Kluyveromyces lactis: one gene and its partners. The protein of the gene in region 7 purifies or fractionates together with the protein of the main gene of each other region. This does not show direct contact. Links are inferred from orthologs where the notes say so. Each region holds a gene or a part of one and is shown on either strand. Other genes may lie near its edges. The genes, in order: UTP20, BRX1, RLP7, PUF6, DBP9, YTM1 and NOP4.

Region 1 (4,300 bases), on a different chromosome or scaffold from region 7:
GTTAATGCAGCCAGCTGAATGGCAGCTTTTTTCGAATTATGAGAATCGTTTGGATTATCCTCACTTCTGATTATCCAACCAGTTCTAGCAATGGCAAACTCTATCGCGTTTGAATATCTGGACACTGAATTCTCTTCTGAATTATGAATGTACGGCGTATTATTTTCATTCCATTTCATGATTATAACTAGAAGAGTCTTCACAGCAACTGACGACAAGTTTTCAGGTAATTTTGGTGCTCCCAACAGACGGAAAATTCTATATGCGATCGTTTGAATTTGATAGTCATCCAATGGAGCCTCAAGCTTGGAAAGATTGTTAATCAATTGATTGACGAGACGAACAGCCGAGAGACGAACCCAAGAATGAGGGTATAACAGACAGTTGGCAATTTGCTTCCAGGTCTCATCAAATTCGCTACTGAATGCTTGGCCTTCATTTTTAGCAACATAAACAGTGAAGACAGATAATGCGGTATAAACGAGGTCCCATGAAGAATCTGATCCGACGTTTGTATTGGAAATAATAGACTTCACACGAGTTATCGCTAATGTGTCAAGAGAAGGGTTTACTCCAGCTCCAAGTTTATTCAGGTAAATCTTGTAGATCTTTAAACCCAAACTCAAAAATTGTTCATTGTCAGCCTGCTTTAACCACGCGGTAATGAACTTTTCGATTTCCTTTACATTTGCTTTCCCCAATTTTTCAAAGAGTGAGGCAAGAAGAACGGAAGCCATTTCACGACACTTCGGGGCATCATCTTGGACGCAAACGTTCGCCAAGGAAACAAAGAAAGATGATGAAATTTTCTTCACAAGTTCTGCACCAGATTTGTTAATGACTAAGTTGACGAGTTCTAAGACTGATTGACGACCTTCCTGAGATGGATACTGCAAGTTGTTCAACATAAAACGGAACTGTTTTTCTAATCTTCCTTTACTCTGATCATATTCCATAAGGAAATGATAGTACACACCTCTGGCAACATCTCTGATCTCCTTAGAATGATTTGTAACCATGATTTCCGCAATATTGTCTACAACATCATAAAGTTCTGGAAGTACTATGTGCTTTGATAGCAAGGCTTTGACGAAGTTGAACGCCAACCCCTGTTTGCTAGGTTCCATCAAGTCAGGTTGGAGACGTCCTAACAAGTAACCCAGGGCAGTATCTTTCAATTGAATATCTTTATGGCGGAGCATGACTGATAAAAATTTGAGGCCCATCTGACACAAGTCTGATGATGTTGATGGTGAATTCTTGACAATTTCTAAGACCTTTCTGGCACAATTTTTGAATATAGCCTCAGCTTCTTCTTCGAAATCCAACTTAATTATTATAGTCAAAAGGCGTAAAGTAGCCATGACAACACCCTCGTTATCAGATACAAGAGTTTCTTTCATTAATGGGATGAAAGGCTGTAGATATTTAACTTCCATTAGGTTGGCATTTTTGGTAACAGCCGTTCTCAATAGATCTAAGGAGAATTTTTGCAAAGTATGAGCGTAAATAGTTGTATCGTTCTGGACAGTGCCTGATTTAAAGTTAAGATCAACTAAAAAGAAATCTGCACGCTCATCTTTAGTGGTTCTGACTTTATTGGGTCTATTACTCTTGTCTGAGTGAGATTGATTAAATATCTCATAGCACAATTTGAGAACGTCTGGAGATGACGCTTCTTGATTATGATTCAAACCCAAGGCATACCTTCTTAATAATTCATTGAGTTTGTTTTGCGATTTTAGAGCAAGCCTTTCATGCAACAATACATTGACAGGGCGCAATAACGACCCAAACATTGGGAGGGTGATGTTGGATGTTACCAATTCACCGGTATCATAACTTTTATTAAATTTGACTTCTTTCATTTTGGATGTGTATCCTTCTGCATCCTTTTCTTGACCAGCAGCACCAAAAATATCCTCCATGATAACATCGACTATCATACCAACAGATTCATCAAGATCACCATGAACAAGGGTTTCAGAGATTGACATCAATACGAAATGCAAAGAATAACTCAAAACATGGATTTGGGAGCCCCTGGTAAGAGCTGACTTTAACTCCTTGATGACGAAAGATAAGTATTGTGGGCCTAGTATAACAGTAAGATTTGCTAAGTTCTTTCTCACTGCCTCACGCAATTCTTCCGATCTACTACGTAAAACCTGACATACACTGGTTAAAATACCAGGCAAAAGTGCCGCAGTGTCATCCTTTTCCAAGCCCAATGCGAGGTTCACTAATGCTTCTGATAAGTGAACTCTAGACACAATTGTTTCGTCATCTCTAGTCGATAAGATCTTACTCAAGCTAGGGAAGATATCTTTTGTTATGAAAGCTTCCGGTTCTTGATAGCTTTTTGGGAACTTTCTGAGTGTTGGTAGGGATTCATCTCCAGTTCTCATTGCTTGTAAAGAGTTCTTTAAGGAAACAGAAATATTGACAAGAAGGGAAACCACTTCCTTTTGTTTTTCAGTATTCTTCTTCAACATAGAGCTGTACCTTCTGAATAAGGCTTTGTATTGGTTCCATGACATATAGTTCGATAGAGTACCGATAGTGATAAGGGTTTCGTTACCAATGTTTCTGTACTTCTCTTCGGTAGAGAAAACATAGCGCTCGACCATAGGAATTAAGTAGTGCGAAATACTGTTGTCAGAAAGCTTTGGAGCATAGTCTTTTAGACGTCTGACAGCTCTTTGACGACGATGCAACTGAATATGGTTTATATTAACGAAGAAATCAGCTTCTTCATCACCATTGTGTAATAGAACTTTCATATCTTCAATTTCAAACAGATATTGAGAGTTTGTGACAATATAAGCAATGAGAGAGATATATTCATTTTGAATCTCTTCAATGTTCTTTCTTAAACCTGACCTGATATTTGGTAAAATGATGGTTTTCATTATGTCTATGTATGCACTTGCATCTTCAACTGAGAGCTTTGAGTTCATACAATCAACAAATCGATTTAATGTGTGAGAAGCATTAGTTCTAATAGCTAATTCTTGAGTGTCATTGATGAAAAACAAGCATGAGTAGATTACAGGCAACCATTGCATTTCTGTGTAAGAGTCACATTCTTTCTCTGTGAAGCGCTTGAATGCCGGTAATCTTCTTTCAAAGTCATATTCTCTCATTCTGCTGGTCGAATACGAATTTAAATCAGCCAACAGCGCCCCAACAGCCTCATATTCGTTGAACCTCGCACCAATGCTCACAAAAATATTGTTCAATGCCTGTCTGAGATCCTTATCAGAATAAGATCTGTATAATTTAGATGCGGCAATGTACAATGGTTCAACTTGTGAAAACGAACAGTCGAAATTATCCATCAAAGTTGATAATGTCTTCAAAAGTTTCACTTTATCTTTCACAGTGAATTGCGAGAGATCTTTTTGCAATGCTTGAGTCAATGAACCCACCAACAATTCTCTTGTTTCGTTATCTTCAACATAACCAAGTTCGGTGATATTTAGCAACAAGTCTACTGCAGCAGAAATAACAGTACTTTCCGTGCACCTTTGTAGTAGCACAGGCAACTGCTGCAAGCAAATCGTAACTATCATAATGATTAGCTCAACATACTTTGGGTCCTGGTCAGGGTTATTGATTATCTTATTACAGAAATTCAATATCACACCCACTACAGACTCCTTTGCATTTGAATTTTGTAATGTTTTCATCAAGGCAGCTACAGCAGACAAATCATCAAAGTATAGGAAACTGTAGAGTGATTTTTGTTCAGCCCAGTATGTAATAATTTTCATGACAGATGATACCTGTTGCAAGTTCTCATCTTCAAATTTCTCTAGACGGGGTGTAATCACATTATTGAATATGTCAGCAGTAAAAGGCCTCCAATCCAAAACGTCTCCTAGTTGACTAAAGAGATTATGCAAACACTTATGTCCTATTTGCCTCAAGTTAGATGCTACCTTTTCGACAAATTGCTCATCGGACTTTTCAGAAACAATAAAGTTTGACATGTTGATAGCATATATTAGAGGCCTTATAACAGTTTTCATCACGTCGGGATATTGGGAACCCAACACTGCCAATGACGAATTAACGACATTGATGAAACCAAGCATCTTTCTTAAGGTCAGAGAAGTCGCATAAGTAAGGTCAATTTTATTCCCATTCTCAAAGAAGTATTCATATTTGAACTTTCCCGTGGCGAGCTGCAAAAACTGTATAATGTAGCGGTTTTCCAAACTAGGCAAAATAGTGATTACTGCAGTTTTCCTGCTCTTCTTGAGACCACTTGTATTTGGGGTTTGAACACGGCCGA
Region 2 (2,858 bases), on a different chromosome or scaffold from region 7:
AAAGTCAGGACATTTTTACTTCCTTATTAATTCTACCCACTTGACTGTTCAATTCACGTTTCCTGAAAATTATACAGTATGATTTGTTATTACTACGCATAACATCTTCGTATTTGGGGAATAGAAGAATGCAATGGCATTGGGCAAGTAAAATATTAATAAATCTATTAAAATTCAAACAAATGATAAAAAAAACATTTCAAACAGCACACTGTGGTTCACACCAAATGTAAAAACGTTTTCCCCATGACGTTTCATGACGCTTCAAGTTTAACTGGTATTCTGGCCCCCCAAGTTAACTAAATAAATTAAATATTCATGTACGACTTTAACGTATAGTATAGTTAGGAATAAAACGAAAAATTATATTATCAAAAACAGCCCATTCAAAAGCATATATATAGGAGTATACATATGTACAAGTCTGAGCAGGAAGAACGCCGTTCTCCTAAGTTGACAATATATAAATCATGATTTTTTCTAGAGTTCTGGATTGTACTTTAATCTTTGAACAATGCATCGTTGGATAATGGATCTACAGCCAAGACACTTTCTCTCTTCTTTAGTTTCCTTTCAACAGCAGCTTCGGCTCTGGTCTTAGCTTCCTTGGCAGCCTGTTGTTTAATTTGAGATCTAACGAAGTTTGGCGATACGTATTGTCTGTTTTCGTAGATCTTTGGACCACCAAATGAACCTTCAAGGATCAAAATCGGTGTCATCACGAAACGTGGGCCAATTTCAACTAACGACGTTTCATCTTCTTCTTTATCCTCATATTCAACGTTGTTCCTAGCTTCATGCGAGATCTCATACGTTCTTACCCAGATCTTTTCGTCAACTATACTGAAAGACATGATATGGTCAATGAATGGCTTGGACTTTCTAGCTTGAGGTGGTACACCGAAGTTATGGATAAAAAGTTCTTTAATTAAACGGTAGTGCGGTTCAGAATCAAATCTACCATCAAATGACAATATTGGTCTGGATCCCTTCAAACAGTTGCCAGTGAAGTTTAATTCGTCCATGGTATGTAGGTTCTGCAAATAAAACTTGATTGTTGGTCCATTTGGTGGCTTTGATAGCCATAGGTACAAATCCTGGTGCTTTCTAGCTTCAAAGAATATAATGTTATTACAGTTGTACAATTCCGCAATCTCATTCAATTGTCCTAGATCCTTCTTCGTGTCCAACTTAGGTTCCTTTCTCGAATGTGGTAGAAGACTGTTCAAATCCTGAACCAAATGACGATGTCTATAAGTAACACCTCTGGACGTAATAAGTAAGGTACGTTGCTTATTCATGAACTGTTTCTCATTACTGTCACTGTTAGCCGCATTATTTTTGTTCTTCTTACCGTCTTTATCCTTACGAGACAAAGTCTTGAAAATACTCGACATTATAGAAGGATTTGCTTAGCAGTTCTTGGCTTTTTCTTCCTTCCAACTACTCAAGTGTAATACAATAATCTCAAAGTGTTTAGACCGACGATGTATAGATTGGAAGGATCAGGACAACCTTGTTCAATACCTCTTCTCATCTCATCTCATCTCATCTCATCTCATCTCATCGCCTTTTCTAACTTTTCAAAAATTTTCAATGTACCGAAAAAGAAACTAAGGCTCATCAGTGATGATTTAAAATAGAAAAGGATAGTTTCTCGAAAAGAAAATGTTCGTATCGTCTGCCAACTGGCTTCTATCAGATTCAACGCGGGTGGGGATTGTATGGTGAGGTCTTGCGTTTATATTTCAAGCAGTAAGAGCGCTGATGCCCTTGTTAGGCTGTGCCGTTTACATTTATGGATACACATACAGTTATAGTTTATTATCCGGGTAATCAAGACTGAAAAATTACGATATTGGCTTAATTCAGCATTCAAACTTCTAATGAACAACCTCATACGCACGTCGTTCGTAGAACAACCCGGTATGTCTGGCAGTAACGGTGTTCGTTGCTGTTTGATCTGTTAGATTTGATATCGACCAACACGAAGAGTGGAAACTGTTGATATGAACTCTGAAGATCATCAGCTTTTTCAGCTATTAGATAGGGAACTGTTTAAGAAAGCTTCACAGTTTGTTGCATCATTGCAGAAACGGTACCCATCCGCCACTTATTACAAAGTGTTAGAGCAATATGTCAAGTACAGGCAATCTCCTGCGAAATATAGTTTTGAAAATGGGTTAAAGTTGATCTTGGATGCCAAATCTCCTCCAAGCGATGCGAAATCGCTATCAATGTGCCATCGATTTTTGTTGGAATTAGGTTTTGACACCACCAGTGCATTGGAACCTTATGAAAGAGCAATGATGAAATACGGTAATTCGGAGACATGTTATGATTGGTTCTTGGAGTCATTGAGGGATTTAAATTGGAGACATTTGAGTAAGAGTAGTTTCCAGATGCCACGAGTCAATGAAAAATCGAAATCGAGATTGTTCCAATTCTGGAACAGTATTGCTACTGTAGTATGGTTTCAGTTGGATAAAGATAACATTAACGAAAGGGAATTGGATCTTTTACCTAAGTTGACATATAAATTGACAAGCGATTTGAAACCTTTTGAGAATGAGCAAGAGTTGATCGTTTTCTGTAAAGTTTGTGAATTGTTTGAGGATAAATCACAGGAGATCGTGGACGAGATCCTCAAGTTTTGGAAACATGGTACTTACTTAGACCTTTATTTGAAAAACTTCCTTATGGGCCATTTGGTGAAATTAGACGATTATAAACTCATTTGGAAACATGGAATCTCGTTATTGAATAACCTTGACGATTATGGTATTTTGCAAAAGATTATAGATGCAAGTTACAAACTTGGCAAGTCATTCGATGAGTTATTGGAAGTTTTGGAAATC
Region 3 (2,764 bases), about 590 kb from region 7:
TGTAGTGTGGGATACTTTTTACTTCTTCAAATAGGTATCAACAATAAAAATAAATCGAAGCAAATGTAGGAATGCGTTAAAGCAGATGTACTTACTTAGAGTACATAGATATATTTATATAATTCAATATATAAAAGTATATGAAGCATCTGATGTTGAACCTGTCATGACTCTAAACTGGAATGGGTAGTTATGCTTCTGAAGGTTTTCCGTTAGAAAATGAGTGCAGGGATCAGGCCCGGAACCGGTTTTAGCCTGAAAGGAAAAGAAAAAAATGCGGTGATTACTAGCACGTGACTGCGCTGAATTGGAATCCACCACAAGTACAGCGAATGGCAAGAGGGAAGGGGAATATATTGTGCCTGGCGGTAGCGTCTGCTATATCAAATGTTAAACATAACTAAATGCAGTAGTGAATAGAGTAATGTATTTCTACATATGTGGGTAGGGCCAATGGGAGCCCGATGTCTATTGTACAGATATTTTCCTTTTATAGTTAATCAATTCAACTTGGAAATCATTGAGTCGATATCTACTTGGATAACTGGAGCCGTGGCAGCGTTTGAAATTTGACGAGTCTTCTTGTTTTGTTCGCGCATTTTCAGTTTATTCAAACGGGAGATGGCACCGAATCCACTGACTTCTCTGTTCAATTTGAATGGTAATAGGAAGAAAGTACATTTCGAGAAATTTTCGCCCAACGTCGAAATCTCATGGATGATATCCTCGATACAAATGACACCTTCATCACCTAATTTCTCTTCAACGATATTGTTGTCATTCAAGATTATCTCTTTTGGTTCTTTATCTTCTGGCCTTTGCCACATTATTCTAGATCTCTTTTGGATTAAAGAACGGATAGATGCAAGTGAAGGTTGTCCGATAACAATATATGGTGATACAAGTTTCAACAATGGGTACACGTCCTTGGTAAGTTTGATGAAAACACCAGTGTTCAACTCAACAAGTCTCAAAAGAGATAACACTTTGTAAGCCTTTGCTGGGATCTTCACAGCTGTGGGTCCTTTCACTCTTATAACAAATAATAAGCTTGGCTCACCATCGTATACGATTTTTTCCCTGATTAACCCATCGTCCTCTTCATCTTCCTCATCAACATCTTGAAGCTCAGATTCGGATGTAGCCTTACTACCGGCTTCTCTTTCAGAGATACGCAAGATAAAATCCCTATCGGATGGGATATGTGACAAATCGTTCTTGACCTTTTGGTTTTCTAAGTCTCTGACTCTTCTGATTCTGGTCTTTTCTCTCTCAGTAGCCAAAGTTGTGGCGACTATCGTCTCAGCTCTAACAAATCTGTTCTTCTTACTACGTTTCTGTTTCTCTTCTTGCTCCTTTCTCTTCTTGGCAAGCTCCTGCTTCTCCAACCTAGTACGATCAGCATTTCTTCTCTTTCTTAAAAGAACCTCTGGGTTCGAGTTCAATGGTTGTGACATTTGTTGCTTCTATATTACTGCCCTGTTTATTAATCTCAGCACAAACCAGCTCTATATAATACAACTTATATGCTCCTAATACTTCAGATTAGCCAAGGTCATCTCTCATTGAAAGCTTTATTCATAATCTTTAATTTCATCTCATCGCATCTCATCGCACTGAACTTTTTTTTCCTCGCCAAAAAAATTTTCTGTAACGAAAAGAAACACTTCCAGTCACGTGAACTGTGAAACCAAGATCTTCTGTTTGACACTCAGACAAGTAGATGATCAATTACAATTACAATTACAAGCTGACCTCGAATAGGGTACTGGCAAGTTGGCGTTTACCTGGGATGATCTGTTGCTGCAGCATGGTGTACCCCAGCAAGATTCTTCAGAATTAAATGGGAACATTTCGGAAAGTTACCCAAAGAATGGGAAGCAAGTTAAATAGTCAAATAGTCAAATTGTGACTGTCTATATGTGAATCGTATATACAGAGACGAATTTTCAAGCAGTTTCCCCTATCTACCTGCTGCAGGAACTAGCACTTCTAACCGGCAGTAAAGTTTTCCGTATCAGCTCATGAAATCGTTATATCTTGGCTTTTGACACTGGCTTTCGAGGTGGCTTTAGGAGTCTCGAAATGTGTGCCCACAGCAGTGTTTCCTTCGAAACCAGCCGTGGCTCCATTCTTTGTACCATCTATGCCGCTCTCTGTTTCGAAACAACCGTGAGATCAACTGTGGTTCAAGTTCTCAACACAGAACAAGTAAGAAAAAAAAGAAATGGGAAAAGGTCCCTCGAGAGGAAGAATGCTGAAAAGGCAGAGAAGGAACCTCAGAGCAAAGTCCGCCCTTTATCATAAATCGGCGGTCTTTTCTTACAACAGAGATCCCAGTGGGGCGGCTCGAACGACGGAAAAAATTTCGAACGATTTAACCGTGAACGCATGCCTGTCCCTAAATTGTAGGACGTTTTCCTCGATTTAAATTCCAAATCACTGAGCGATACCGCTGACAGCACTGGAATTATGCTACTCTTAAGTTATATTTTTCCCTTCGCTCACGTGATTCTAGGAAGATAGTAAATACACTGTGCCGTTTGTTGAGCTACAGCGTGAACAGTAGGAAATGTACTTCCACTACGGGCTGACTAAGTCCACGCTCGAAGGAATAAAAATCACTTCGAGTGTCTTATGTTTTTCTTTTCTATCAAAACGACAAGTACGATAAAAAAACCGGCATGAAAATCGAGTAGTGGTTATCAGAATGAACATTGCAGGACCCGCGCTGAACCCAAAAGTCGACTTTCTTGATTCTTAA
Region 4 (3,858 bases), on a different chromosome or scaffold from region 7:
TGTCAAAGAATTACATACTGTCCCATGCAATTTCAGGGCATTGGTGATCGGTTGTGCTTTACAAGGTATTCAACAATTCTGTGGTTGGAATTCTTTAATGTATTTCTCTGGTACTATTTTTCAAACTGTTGGTTTCGAAAATTCTACTGCAGTGTCTATCATCGTTGCCGGTACTAACTTCGTATTCACTTTAGTCGCTTTCTTTGCGATTGATAAGGTCGGTCGTAGAGCAATCCTTTTGATTGGCTTGCCTGGTATGATGGTTTCCTTGGTTATGTGTGCTATCGCCTTCCATTTCCTAGATATAAAATTCACTGGCGCTGGTGAATCGGAAGTTTCCAATGGTGGATTCAGTTCTTGGGGTATAGTCGTTATCGTATTCATCATGGTATATGCAGCATTCTATGCTCTAGGTATCGGTACTGTACCATGGCAGCAATCTGAATTATTTGCAACATCCGTTAGAGGTGTAGGTACTTCTTATTGTACAGCTACTAACTGGGCTGGTTCCCTAATTATTGCATCTACCTTCCTAACAATGTTACAAAACATAACACCGACTGGTACATTTTCATTATTTGCTGCACTAGCTGCAGTATCTACCGTCTTCTGTTATCTCTGTTATCCAGAACTATCTGGTCTAGAATTGGAGGAAGTACAAACTATTTTAAGTGATGGATTCAACATCAAAGCTTCCAAACAACTAGCCAAGAAGAGAAAGCAACAAAATAGCGAAATGCAAAGGAGATTTAGAGAAAAGGACATGGAAGCTTATCAAAAGGATAAACCCTCCGATGAACTACTTGAAAGTTAATGTAAATGCAGTCATTCCCTCTTATTCTCATACCCGAAGCTACTGTCTTGGTTTTTCAATGAACTTCATATGAAGTTGAGTATATAGATAACCATAAAATCTTTTAGAATTAACAACTATAGCTGCTAAAGTTGTCCACAATTACTACTGTAATATTATCATTGTCATGTGTAAAACTCAACTTGTTTGTGATTTACAATAAAAATCTCGTTAGTTTGAAAGGGTGACATTTACTCATTTCATAATTAACTAACTCGGAAGAGAGAGCTTTCGAGAAATAGAGCTAAATCTTTGAAGCATGTAATAAACTGCCATATTCGGTTTAATCAGCCAAATCCTGTACCAACTGTATATTCCCCCCATCAAAAAAAGAGAGATTCTGGCGAATGTTTATTTGAGTTCTTTCTTTTTAGCATATTATGAAAATTTTCTGAACTTGAAAAAGAAGCGATGAGATGAGATGAGCTTATACAGTAGTAACTGCACTATGGGTAGCATTAAATAACAACATATACATTCTTATTCTCTCTCGTAGGACAATACAGCACTACAGATATGGCAGCCACGTCGAAAAAGTTGAACAAGCGTCAATTGGAATCTAAGGAGTCGAAGGATTCTGGTAAAATTGTAAAAAGAGCTAAAAACATTAGTGTTGATTCTGGCGATGAAGATTCTGATGATGTCCTCCACGGTTTATCTTCAGAAGATGAGCTAGATGATGAATTAGATGATGCTAGCTCAAATTCAGATTCAGACGAGCTAGACAACGAATCTGATCAACTGGATGAATCTGATGAGGATCAAGAAGATGCTGAAGATGAAGAAGATGCTGGAACCGGAAATGATGCAGACAAAAAAGAAAGTAATGGTGTCAGCCAGCATGCCGAACAAAGAAAAACATTAAAGGAGAGAAAACTTCAGCGTAAATCTGGTGAAACAGTCCAGCAGATCAAGTCTTTATGGGAAAGATTACGTGTCAAGAACCCTCCAATTCCAAAGCCTGTCCGTGAAAAGCTATGTAATGAGATCTGGGAACTCTCGAATGATTGTATTGAAGATTTAGTATTGAAGCATGATGCATCCAGAATTGTCCAGACATTAGTCAAATATTCTTCCAAAGAGCGCAGAGAACAGATCACGTTGGCATTGAAAGATAAAATTTATGTTTTGGCCACATCATCATATGGTAAATATTTGTTGGTTAAATTGTTACATTATGGTTCCCGAAAATCTAGACAAATCATAATCGATCAACTACATGGTAATTTGAGAAAACTAATGAGACACCGTGAAGGTGCCTATGTGGTCGAAGATTTGTTTGTTCTTTATGCCTCTCAAGAACAAAGAAATCAAATGATCAGAGAATTTTGGGGTTCAGAATACGCCGTATTCAGAGAATCTCATAAGGAACTTACGCTCGAAGAAGTTTGTGCTTCCAGCGTAGAAAAGAGAAATATTATCGCTAGAAACTTGATTGGTACCATCACTGCTTCTGTTGAAAAAGGTTCGGCAGGTTTCCAGATTTTACACGCAGCAATGAGGGAATACGTCAAAATCGCCAACGATAAAGAAACATCTGAGTTCATCGAACTTTTAGAAGAGAACTTTGCGGAATTAGTGCATACCCCAGAAGGTGCAGAAGTTGCATCTACTTTAATCGCTAAAGCAAATGCCAAAGAAAGAAAGGGGTTGATAAAGACCTTGAAAGAACATGCAATCAAGTTAATTCAAAATGAACACGGTGCCGTTGTTTTCATAACTTTATTAATGACAGTCGATGATACTGTTCTCGTCTCCAAGGCATTTTCCCCACCAATTAAGGAACATCTTCCAGAATTGATTGTTGATAAATTTGGTAGGAGGCCGCTCTTATTCCTACTTTTAGGATTAGATGGTAAATACTTCGGTCCAAATATGAAGAATGAACTACAAAGATACATTAAGATGTCGGAAACTACTTCCAAGAAGCCATTTGACCAAAGAAGACTTGAATTATTAAAAAGGTTCGCACCAATGATTTTATCTGGCGTAAACGAACACTACAAAACCATTCTAGATGAAAACATCGGTTCTCAATTTGTCGCAGATTTACTCGTTAACGATGATGTCTATGAACAACTTTCAGAGTCTGATCAAAAGTTGTTTGCCGAGCTTGTGGACACCGTCGCCATTTATTTCAAAGGTGACATTTCAGAAGAAGACCACCCTATTAACAAACCATTTTCGGCAAGGTTGCTAAAGTCTCTCATTCAAAATGGTAGATACAACGTGAAAGCAAGAAAACTAGAACCTCTAGAAAAAGTTCAGGGACTTGGTATTCCATTTGCTGAAAAATTTTATGAAGACATCATTGATTCCAGCAACCTACTCGATTGGATCAACAAACCCAACAGTTCTTTTACCATTGTGGCATTGTATGAAGCCTTACATGGGACTGAAGAAGGGGAACAATTCGATCATGATTTGAAAAAAGTGATCAAGAAAATAGAGACGAACGATTCAAACAAGGGTGCTCAACTACTTCTAAAGCTAATGAAGCATTGAGTATGTATAGTCAAGTCGTTATATAGTTTGGCTCTAAAATATGTATATTAAAGATGATATAGCTTCTCATCATTGTGGACGAAGGACGTTCTAGTCTACTATTAAGATTCACACTTCCTTAAATGAGACTATCATCTGCGAACCAGAGATAATACAGCTAAGAACATTTATTCCTCAATTCACTAATTACAGCAGTGGCATTGATGGCTTATGAATGACGATACTAAAGAGAAACCCATTTCAACTGCCTTTGAAGTAACCGATGGATTATATGCTGTTTCACCATTAATCGAGAATGTGCCTCATGAATATGAGTACTCATGTATCGAATATTATGGTCAGCACATCTACCTGGGCTCGACTTCAGGAGCGTTACTACACTATTATGAATTAGATGTTGGAAATTTCACACTGATCTCGGAAGTCAACTTCAATGAAGACAGACCAACAGGAATTGATGGCATAACGCTACTGCCGAAAATTGATAGAGCCTTAGTGTT
Region 5 (3,573 bases), on a different chromosome or scaffold from region 7:
ATAGTTTCAGGTATATTGGTGTCAGATGAGAAGAATTTTGATCTAAGTTTAGTTTCGCTTTCAGATTTAAGAGAACATTATCAACAATTATCTACTACAGTTTTGACAGAAAGACAGACAGTCCACTTGGACTGTAAAAGCGAACTAGTATATTGGCATATCTGCCAAATGTTTGGTGACGTAGATGTATACATTGACGAAGAAAACGTCTCATTGAAGAACATCAATCCCGAATTCAAGACGAGGAAGATAAAGAAGGGTGAACTAGAAATAAAAATCATGGGAGATGTAATATTAAATATAGTTGACAATGTAGCTACATTGCAATGGACTCAGAATGTTATCAGTGATTCAGTCGCGGATAGTGTCATGGCAATTCTACTGAGTGTCGAGAGCGCTCCAGCAAGTATCAAAATGAGTTCGAAGTCATGTGGACATCATCATGGACACGATGATCACACGACTAAAATTAAGAACATATCGAGAGTTTTCAAGGAACAGTTTGGTGATACTTTTACATTATTTTTGAATGAGGAAGACTCCAAAGAAGAAATAAAAGGCACTATCAACTTAGGAAAAACAACAGCATGTATAAACTTCTCAAAAATGGTTGTGGAAGAATGTAACTCTAATCCATTGAAAGGTAGAATAGAGAGTTTATTAAAAATTGGCTCCGACTTGGTGGCCCCATTGTGTTAATCTGTCTCATATATAGATATGATTATATATGAGCTAGTCATTAATCATCTTTTTGCATTAACTATATACTTTTCAACCCTATACTGCCATCTTGCCAAGGTGTTCCTCTGTACTAAATAATCTATTAAAACTTTAAAGATGCATTCAAGTTTCAATTAACTGAATGAACATATCGTTTTCGACAAGTTACAAAAGACACCAAGAGGACAAAAAACCATTTACTAAACTACTAAACGCGATATATATATATATATTCTCATTATAACAGTAAATTTTAAATCAATCTACCAATACCATGGCAAAATCAGAGCTACAGTGAGGTATTTCATTCACATTGCCAATCCAGAAGAGACAAGATAACTCAATCACGTGACTCATAAATCCTTTTGCCTGTGTAGTTTCTTTTTGCACCTCAAGAAAATTTTTGGGAAGCTCATCTCATCTCATCCAGAGTCTGAACGTACAAGAGCTGTAAAACAGGCTAAATGGGTCTCAACTATCAGCAGCATTAACCTTTTGATCGAAACTTACAACCGAGGTTATAGTTAAAGTGTTCGACGAGAGCTAGAGTCCAGAAAAACGCTTCAATATGGCTCAAACAAGCGCTTCCCAGGGATACATTGATGATTCTTCTTCTTTCGATTCGTTCCACTTGGATTCACGTTTATCACAAGCCATCCGCAGTATCGGCTTCAAACACCCTACTTTGATCCAATCCAGTGCGATACCATTAGCTCTTCAAGAGAAAAGGGATATCATAGCGAAAGCTAGTACCGGCTCTGGTAAAACTTTAGCATATTTGATACCAGTGATTCAAACAATTTTAGATCATAAGAAGGCAGATCAGAATGATGAAGGTGCCACTCTAGGGGTAATATTGGTCCCAACTAGAGAATTGGCTCAGCAAGTTTTAGAAGTTGTTGAAAAGCTCATTGTTTTCTGTTCTCAAGAAATTAAATGCTTAAATCTTTCATCGGGTAATGTATCGGGAAACTTATTGAAATCTTTACTTACCGAAAATCCAGAAATATTGATAGCTACGCCGGCCAAGTTAGTAGATTTACTAGATGCGCAAGATGTTAATATTGACAGGTTGAAGTTCTTGGTTATCGATGAAGTTGATTTGGTGTTAACTTTCGGATACCAAGAGGACCTTACGAAGATTTCAGAACGCTTACCATTGAGAAAGAGTTTACAAACTTTCTTGATGAGTGCCACTCTAAATGACGATATCCAACACTTGAAGCAGCAATTCTGCCGTTCACCAGCGATTTTGAAACTTAATGACGACGAAGTCAACAAAGATCAAACAAAGCTTATTCAATATTATGTGAAGGTTGGAGAATTTGATAAGTTCCTATTGTGTTATGTGATTTTCAAACTGGGACTAATTAAGGGTAAGACATTAATCTTCGTTAACAATATCGATAGAGGATACAGACTAAAGCTAGTTTTAGAACAGTTTGGTATTAAATCTTGCATTTTGAACAGTGAACTGCCAGCAAATTCAAGACAGCATATCGTAGAAGAATTCAACAAGAACGTTTATCAACTGTTAATAGCTACAGACGATACTGAATATATCAAAGAAGAAGACGAAGACTTAGAATCAGAAAAAACTGAGGATGGTTTAGTTGAGGTTGTCGATGATTCCACTGTTACTACGAAAGACAATGCAAAGAAACAAAAGAAGCCAAAGCTAAACGTGGAGAAAGACAAAGAATATGGTGTATCTCGCGGTGTGGACTTCAAAAATGTTGCCTGTGTATTAAACTTTGATCTACCAACCACTGCAAAATCGTATGTACATAGAATTGGTAGAACAGCTCGTGCAGGGAAGTCAGGAATTTCTATTTCTTTTGTTGTTCCTTTGAAGGAATTCGGGAAGCATAAACCATCTATGATCAAGAGTGCTAAGAAGGATGAAAAGATACTAGGCAGAATTATAAAACAACAGGCTAAATTAGGCTTTGAACTACAGCCTTACAACTTTGATATCAAACAGGTCGAAGGTTTCCGTTATAGAATGGAAGACGGTTTCCGTGCAGTAACTCAGGTTGCTATTAGAGAGGCAAGGATAAAGGAGTTAAAACAGGAACTTTTGGCAAGTGAGAAACTAAAGAGACATTTTGAAGAGAATCCTCATGACTTAGAGAGTTTGAGACATGACAAGGAGTTACATCCTGCTCGTGTACAACAGCATTTAAAAAGAGTTCCGGACTATCTTTTACCAGAAACTGCTAGGAAAGATAATAAGAAGATCGGTTTCGTTCCATTCCACAAAAATTCGCATAGAAAGAACGGAAGAGTGGTTAAGAAGAAGGGGAATGTCCAAAGAAAGGGTAAATCTGATCCTTTGAAAAGCTTCAAATAGATATTCAATTAATTACGACCAGCCTATTTAACATTAGCACTAGGAATATATAAGTATAGATCAAATTCTTGATAAATTTGGAACTATCCTATCATACCACCATCTAATTGCTAGTTCATTGTGAGAATGTGATATATACTCCCATAATTTAGTAATGATATGTTCTTTCATTAGAGGCGGAAGAGTTCGGGCTAATTCGTTACATGCATCTAACCAATCCCATAAGTATTCATCAGGCACATTGTGGAATTGTTCTATGAGACATTGTATGCTAGTGGATTTCATTTGTAAATTTTCAGTGTTGATTATTCTAATATAGGTCGAATGAATTAGATCCCGGATTAAGTCATTGTCATAATTAGAAAGATATCTTATAGTTGGAAGTATGCTTTTCCAAATTACAATTAATTGTTTTTCTGTCATTAAAGATGCACTGCATTGTCTGAAACAATCATGTAAGTATAGCCTCAATCTTTTGAGTTTAAAGTTTGTGACATCTG
Region 6 (3,160 bases), on a different chromosome or scaffold from region 7:
TGTTTCTTTGCATGCCAGAACTCAGGCGTCGTTTCTTTCAACTCTCCATGGCGATATGCACTGATGATTTTGCGAGCTTGTTGAAGATCATCACTGCTCGTTAACAACATCGTTGGATCAGAAATCTCTGCGCAGTGACGAACACGTCCCCAATAGGTGCTTAGATCATAACGAGATTCTGGTAGGGCAATTGGACCTGGGACACTGGATGCCATGATAAGCTGTACTCAAGTGTATCGAAGTCTTTTGGATGAGCTGAGCTTCTACGAGACAAACACGACTTTGTTCTTGCTTAATTACTTTCGAGATGAGATGACTCTTTAGATATAAATGCATTATTCTCTCGAGCTTGCATTTTTTTTTTTCATTCTGCAGCGTCAGAATGATACGTACGGCGTTACAAAGCTGCTGGAATTCTGATAAGAAAAAAGACAGTAATTATTGATCTAGCAATAGGTTATTATAATTCTCTTATTCTCGGAGAAACTGTACTAGTGAAACGATGATGATTCCAACCACTTCGATTTCCAATTTAGCAATAACATATTTGTCTTTGCCCTAATCATATTCTTAACATGTCTAAAGGTAATATGATAATTTACCCGGACAACTAATTTTCTCTGCCTGAAAAAAAAAAAGAACAGACATCCAGTATAAATTGAGAAGCTTTTCACCTTGAGAAAAAGACAAGGTTAAAGCAAGTACTCTAAGTTAATCAAATTCGAGTCGACTGTTCTTTTGATTATTTGGCTTAAAAAAGTGATACGAAACATATTAATGCCTTCTATTCACTGTGCCATCTGATACACCGTAGATGAACAGAGGGGAAAAGAACGGCTAGATGAAAATTCTATCCGCGAGCGTACCTCATACTGATTAAAGTACTTAACTATTTTTCATCAATTGGCTTTAATTGGTAGCTGCGTGAGCGGGACATTCTCTATCTCTTGTCACTCCTGAATTTACTTATACTTGTATATACCATATATTACTCGTGAAAATGTTTAGTATTACACGGTCATTAGTCTGTCACTTAGCTATTGGTGTACTGACTAATTTCCACTACCCGGTTCCTTAAAACATATACACGTGACTGGCATTTATTTCTGGCGGATTTCTTTTTCGAGCAGTGGTTTGTTTCCCAAAAATTTTCCAAGCTCATCGCATCTTACAACGCTTAGAAAATGTACAAGATAGGAAGAATAGAGTTAACGCGCTCCATCGTACCTCAGTAACAACGTGCGATCACAATCTATTAGACAATTCAAACTAGAATTCACTGGAAGAATATCTTAGTTATAAGGAGAAGTAAACTGTAGGGGAATATGTCAACAGATAAGACTCAGGTGAAGCTACGCTTCTTTACTCGTGAAGAAGATGAGACTTTACATGTCAATGATGCTCCAATCTATGCTCCAGTTAGTCTAAAGAGATATGGTCTTTCTGAAATTGTTAATCACCTACTGGAATTACCTAAATCTATGCCATTTGATTTCCTTATCGATGGTGAACTTTTGAGAACATCGTTGCAGGACTATTTGATCAAGAAAGGTTTATCATCGGAAACCTTTTTGAATGTTGAATATACTAGAGCAGTGCTACCACCTTCATATTTGTCTAGTTTTGATAACGAAGATTGGGTAAGCTCATTGGATGTCGGAAGCAATTACATCTACAGTGGTTCCTATGACGGTATCGTAAGAACGTACAACTTGTCAGGGAAAGTCGAAAAACAATACAGTGGTCATTCTGGCCCTATTCGTGCTGTGCATTACATTTCTAGTACGAGATTGGTGTCCGCAGGGAATGATCGCACTCTACGTCTGTGGAAAACGAAGAATGATGATTTGAAATCAATTGATGAAGAAGAAATTGAGGATGGTAAGACATTGGCCATCTTGGAAGGTCATAAAGCCCCTGTAGTGTCCATTGATGTTTCGAAAGACCGTATTCTATCTGCATCATGCGATAATACGGTGAGCTTGTGGTCCACGAATTATAAAGAGATGACTGTCATTGATCCGATGGAGGATTTAGGAGGCAACGTGTCTACTGCAGCCAAGAAGAGGAGAAAGTTGACTCTAAAAGATGGATCTATCAGAAGAAGAGCCCCTTTGGCTCTTTTTGAATCTCACAGTGCTCCAGTAGAGGCTGTCATTTTCGATAAATCGGATGATACTGTTGGGTATTCCGTGTCACAAGATCATACTATAAAAACATGGGATCTGATAACGGCAAAATGTGTCGATACAAAGACGACATCGTACTCACTTCTTTCTGTTGCGCAACTACCAAAATTAAATCTCTTAGCATGCGGGTCGAGTGCCAGACACATTACTCTTCATGATCCTCGTGTAAATTCTTCATCTAAAATCACCCAACAGCAGCTTGTAGGTCACAAGAACTTCGTTGTCGCTTTGGATACTTGTCCAGAAAATGAATATATGATATGCTCTGCATCTCACGATGGAACTGTCAAGGTTTGGGATGTTAGGTCTAACACTGCAATGTACACTATCACCAGAGAAGATAAAAATGTTGTTAAAGGTGTCAATGATAAAGTGTTTGCTGTCAAATGGGCTAAAGGCGTAGGTATCATCAGCGGTGGTCAAGACAAAAAAATTCAAATTAATAAAGGTGATAATATATTTAGTAACTAATCGTAATTTTATATATTATATACAGGAATTATGCTCACTAGTTCACTTAAATATAAAAGAAATGTACCACAAAAAATGTTGAGAAACAACATAGTATTTGCAGGGTTCTAATGTTAATTATCTTTTTAGTTCCGAATGGAATTTGGCTAGACCATAAAACCCTTGGAATAAGGATTCGTAGTCTGTTAGGTAACCATTCAAATTTTTAACATCAACCTGGTTGGAATGATCTTCCCATCCACGTAATTTACGTAGTCTTGCTAGCTCATCGTATGTGAATTGTACTAGTGGTCTAGTTCCGTATTTCAACGGTCCAACATTAACCCAGTGTAAACGTCCTGTACAATTGTTAGAAAGCATCTCAATAGCATTGAAGTAATCAAACATGTTTGCTGCTGTGTCAATAAAGAATGCAGAACATACTATTATATTTTTGTATTTTTTCTCTGGTTTATAGCAGCAAAAGTCACCGAAAAGTACTGTTAAGTTCTCTGGCTTTT
Region 7 (3,791 bases):
TTTAGACATTCTTTACCGTCTATTGCAGTATGATCCTATCAAGAGAATCGATGCAATCGACGCTTTAGACCATGTCTATTTCACCAACGGCGACCCTCCTGTCTGTGAAAATGTGTTCGAGGGTCTCAACTACAAATACCCACCAAGGCGCATTCACACAAACGATAACGACATTACGAATGTCGGCAATGATAATAATCAAGCTAATCACTCTCAAAAACAACCAATGCATGGTAACAATAATAATAAGAATGGGAACATGAACGGATTAGGTGTAAACAAACGTATCTTGGCAGCAGCAGCGGCAGCTGCCGCTGCAGCTGCTGTGTCTGGTAATGGAAACAACCCCACAAGCAATACTGCAACCGGAGGATCAGCACGGAAAAAGAGAAAATGATTCTATAATTGAAATGCATGTTATTTAATATACAGATTTTATATCCTAGAAACTTCATTGCTTCGGAATGCTTTGAATTTTTGCCTTTGACTATTGTTTACATTCAAGAACGGCCCTTGTTCTTTCTTCTACGTTTAGATCCAATAATCTGTTTAATATTATTACTTAGACCAGATTTTGTTTCCTCTTCTACTGGTTGAGCCACTTTTTCTTCTTCTTTATTCTCTTCATCATCTCTTTTTCTCTTGAAAGATATCAATCTAGATTCTTTGACCTTTTCTCTTCTTCTCTTCACAACGTTAGCGTTTTCGATAGCAAATTCGACCACCAGTCTTCTTTTTTTGAAACTGTCTGCATCAAGCTGTTTCTTTTCATCATCCGTAAGTCCTTCTAAGATTTCGTCCCTACTGACTTCATGAGCATTTAACCATCTTAGACACATTAGCGCAGCTTTATGATCCCTGAATTCAACAAAACCATACCCTCTACTTCTACCACCGCTAGATCCTTTAATTTCCATGATAATTTTAGATTGTCTAACAATACCTTGTTTCTTGTCCTTCTTCTTTTGAGCTTCGATTTCTTCTTCAGACATGAACTTGTACTTTTCCTTAGTAGATCTGACGATTTCTTCTTTATTCAATGCGTGTCTCTTGTTTTCGTTAACTTCTTTGGCGAACTCTACTACAGCTTTACGAGCTAGCGCCTTTAGACCCTTCTCAGTCATTGCTCTTGGAATATTTCTGATAGCCAATCTAGTCATCGAAAGATGTAACGTTGGATTCTTCTTCAATTGTTCGACTCTTAACTTGTAAGATTTTTCTCTGACTTCCATATCAGCAGGAGTTAACAACTGTGAAAGCTTTGAACCTGCAACAATTCTACCTTCATTTAACAAATATAGATTACGTCTGTCCTTTTCACCTGGTGCCTTACCAAGAACTTCTTTTCTCTTCTCGGCATTTCTCTCAAACATTCTTCCAGCAGATTCTCTATCAAGAGTTGGAGAAATTGCAAGAACACGACCCTCATAAACATACTCTGGGGAAACATCATCACTTATTAGAAGGGATGTACTTCCTGTAGCAGGAGCATTATTTAGACAGTCGTTGTAAGCATCTTCGCTTCTGAATGCAACGAAAGCAGTACCCTTCGCCAAACCAGTTTCTTTATCAATCACTGGCAAAGCGTATTTTACTGGGCCGAACACGCCGAAATGACGTTCTAAGGATTCTTGAGTGGCATCGTATGGAACATTACGCACAAAAATAGAGAAATCTTCCTTTCTGTTCTTCTTTACGGTATCCTGTTCTGGTGTTTCCTCCTCTTCGCTGATTTCTTCATCAGAATCCAAGACGATGTCACTTTTTTCTTCTTTTTCTTTGTCGTCCTGATTGTCAGCGTCCTCTTCACCCGAATCAGAACCATCATCCTCATCATCATCATCATCTTCTTCTTCTTCTTCCTCATCTTCATCAGACGCTTCCAGTTCCTTATGTTCGTTCTTATAGTCCTCCCATCTGTTCTTTTGAATTGCAAAATCAACAGCCACTTTCCTGCCATCGATCTTCAAATCCTTAGTGCCTTCTATAGCAGCCTTACAGTTAGAGATCCTGTTCATTGTAACAAAAGCAAACCCACATAATCTACCGTCTCTCTTCCTTGGGATCGTAGCTTCAACAACGGTACCGTACAATCCGAAGATTTTCTTCAGTTTCGTCGGATCACGACAGGACCATGGCATATTTCTGATAATTAATTTCGGTTTACCCTTCATTAAATCATTATCATCTTCGGGTTTGCTTTCCTCCTCATCTTTAACATTATCTACGGAAGGTGCTGATGATACCTCATCCGCATCCTTTTTACCACGGGAACGTTCTCTTCTTTTGGCAATATCGATTCTCAACAAACGTCCCATAAACTTCGTCTTTCTAGCCTGATTCAAAGCAGTCTTAGTATCATCTTCAACTGCAAAACTAACAAAACCAAATCCTCTGCTTGCACCCTCACCATCTTTGACAATAACAGCATGCTTGATAGGAGAGAATTGGGAGAAGAAGTTACCGAATTCTTCATCGGTAGACTCAAACGGCACACCACGAACAAATAACGTCTTCAGATCAAGACCTTCATCCTTAATAACTTTCTTATCACTCATCACAGATATATTAAGCACAAATCTGCGTCGTTTGATGTAGACGCTAACAAAATAAGTATATAAATGTGTTCATTAACCTTCTACTATATATATACTAGATATCAATACTAATGGTTCTTGGGCGATGAGATGAGATGAGCTTTAAAATTTTTTGACAAAAAGAAATCAAGCGGACTGAAAAGCTGTAAGATTTAAAGAGATGAACAGATCACGTGTGGATATTCCTGGCATATACGGCTGTTCAATACCTCTGTTCTCCGATGCAATACAACTTTCCTGGTTCTATGAAGATATTCTGTCAATCTTATACGACAGTTAGACCAATTTAGTTGATTGTTCTCACTTTCTTGTCAGAATCAATACTATATAAAATGCATGGAATTTTAACATCGACTATAATCTGAAACTATGGAAAGGTTTGATGACCCTTAATCCTTATGTTCTTTTTATGATGGTGTTATATGGACGGTGAACAGCATATTATTGGGACGGCCAAGATGGAACGCACGCTTCGAAATGACAATAATAATGTAGATATTACAGTTACAAAGAATAAACTTGCTAGGCTCGGTGCACAGGCAATAGTGAAACTGATCACTACCTGGCTTGATACACATGCCATTAATGATTCACAGCTGGTCTCGGATAATTTAGTTGAATTGGTGAAAAAACATGGGGTACGGAATATTGCTAATATGGCTGTCACGAGTTGGTGGCCTTCTTTATCTCGAGAACAGTTATCACAACTGGATATCTGGTCTGTTTTATGTGACACTTCAACTAACCAATGGGTAGCGTCCAGATGTTTGGATAGAGATGGAAAGCAATTTATCGTAAATGTGGAGCCGAATGAGCTTATCAATGGTATGCGCGAACAGTTTAAACGACTTTACGAATTGGATGTTAACATTGAGGAAAACGATGATTTAAGTATGTACATATGCCGAGTTCAGTTGTTCGAATCAACTGGCGACCTTATTATCAATACACACAAACCGTTCTACTTTGCTATTATGCCGGGACACTCGATTATCTTCCACTCGTTGCAGTCTGATACTCACTCACAACTTATATTACTGGCATTCTCAAAGCTACATTCCAAGACAATCAGGTTGGAAAGAATTAGCAGGAAACCAACCACGTCATTACACGAATTAAACCTTTCTCTAGGGCTGCCGTCTGTAAATACTACAGGGTATGGGATTTGGTCCGTATATTCGGGCAAGGATGCAC

The links.
Region 1: the proteins of NOP4 (region 7) and UTP20 purify together in Saccharomyces cerevisiae (affinity purification with mass spectrometry, with the first as the bait; 3 studies listed by BioGRID). This does not show direct contact. The link is inferred for Kluyveromyces lactis from reciprocal best matches to the Saccharomyces cerevisiae genes NOP4 and UTP20.
Region 2: the proteins of NOP4 (region 7) and BRX1 purify together in Saccharomyces cerevisiae (affinity purification with mass spectrometry; 4 studies listed by BioGRID, with this or other methods). This does not show direct contact. The link is inferred for Kluyveromyces lactis from reciprocal best matches to the Saccharomyces cerevisiae genes NOP4 and BRX1.
Region 3: the proteins of NOP4 (region 7) and RLP7 purify together in Saccharomyces cerevisiae (affinity purification with mass spectrometry, with the first as the bait; 4 studies listed by BioGRID). This does not show direct contact. The link is inferred for Kluyveromyces lactis from reciprocal best matches to the Saccharomyces cerevisiae genes NOP4 and RLP7.
Region 4: the proteins of NOP4 (region 7) and PUF6 purify together in Saccharomyces cerevisiae (affinity purification with mass spectrometry; 3 studies listed by BioGRID, with this or other methods). This does not show direct contact. The link is inferred for Kluyveromyces lactis from reciprocal best matches to the Saccharomyces cerevisiae genes NOP4 and PUF6.
Region 5: the proteins of NOP4 (region 7) and DBP9 purify together in Saccharomyces cerevisiae (affinity purification with mass spectrometry, with the first as the bait; 3 studies listed by BioGRID). This does not show direct contact. The link is inferred for Kluyveromyces lactis from reciprocal best matches to the Saccharomyces cerevisiae genes NOP4 and DBP9.
Region 6: the proteins of NOP4 (region 7) and YTM1 purify together in Saccharomyces cerevisiae (affinity purification with mass spectrometry; 3 studies listed by BioGRID). This does not show direct contact. The link is inferred for Kluyveromyces lactis from reciprocal best matches to the Saccharomyces cerevisiae genes NOP4 and YTM1.

The regions. Positions count from the first base shown.
Region 1 is NC_006041.1:1,543,540-1,547,839, forward strand, and holds part of UTP20 (Utp20p), read right to left. Parts: coding exon 1-4,300. UniProt on the Saccharomyces cerevisiae protein: Involved in nucleolar processing of pre-18S ribosomal RNA and ribosome assembly.
Region 2 is NC_006041.1:1,577,273-1,580,130, reverse strand, and holds BRX1 (ribosome biogenesis protein BRX1), read right to left. Parts: upstream 1,398-2,858; coding exon 501-1,397; downstream 1-500. Other genes in the region: MDM20 (Mdm20p), read left to right, coding at 2,010-2,858. UniProt on the Saccharomyces cerevisiae protein: Required for biogenesis of the 60S ribosomal subunit.
Region 3 is NC_006040.1:418,128-420,891, reverse strand, and holds RLP7 (Rlp7p), read right to left. Parts: upstream 1,458-2,764; coding exon 501-1,457; downstream 1-500. UniProt on the Saccharomyces cerevisiae protein: Involved in the biogenesis of the 60S ribosomal subunit. May act as a specificity factor that binds precursor rRNAs and tethers the enzymes that carry out the early 5' to 3' exonucleolytic reactions that generate the mature rRNAs.
Region 4 is NC_006039.1:1,047,744-1,051,601, forward strand, and holds PUF6 (pumilio-family RNA binding domain-containing protein), read left to right. Parts: upstream 1-1,369; coding exon 1,370-3,358; downstream 3,359-3,858. Other genes in the region: myo-inositol transporter ITR1, read left to right, coding at 1-814; CORVET complex subunit VPS3, read left to right, coding at 3,569-3,858. UniProt on the Saccharomyces cerevisiae protein: RNA-binding protein involved in post-transcriptional regulation. Component of the ASH1 mRNP which transports the ASH1 mRNA to the distal tip of the bud, where the ASH1 protein is translated and targeted to the daughter cell nucleus.
Region 5 is NC_006039.1:416,717-420,289, reverse strand, and holds DBP9 (ATP-dependent DNA/RNA helicase), read left to right. Parts: upstream 1-1,288; coding exon 1,289-3,073; downstream 3,074-3,573. Other genes in the region: cleavage polyadenylation factor subunit YSH1, read left to right, coding at 1-699; PEX8 (Pex8p), read right to left, coding at 3,134-3,573.
Region 6 is NC_006039.1:647,173-650,332, reverse strand, and holds YTM1 (Ytm1p), read left to right. Parts: upstream 1-1,325; coding exon 1,326-2,660; downstream 2,661-3,160. Other genes in the region: FSF1 (Fsf1p), read right to left, coding at 1-215; KLLA0_C07403g (uncharacterized protein), read right to left, coding at 2,778-3,160. UniProt on the Saccharomyces cerevisiae protein: Component of the NOP7 complex, which is required for maturation of the 25S and 5.8S ribosomal RNAs and formation of the 60S ribosome.
Region 7 is NC_006040.1:1,003,846-1,007,636, reverse strand, and holds NOP4 (mRNA-binding ribosome biosynthesis protein NOP4), read right to left. Parts: upstream 2,559-3,791; coding exon 501-2,558; downstream 1-500. Other genes in the region: cyclin-dependent serine/threonine protein kinase SSN3, read left to right, coding at 1-397; CHL4 (Chl4p), read left to right, coding at 3,020-3,791. UniProt on the Saccharomyces cerevisiae protein: Required for 60S ribosomal subunit synthesis. Probably involved in the processing of 27S rRNA to produce mature 25S rRNA.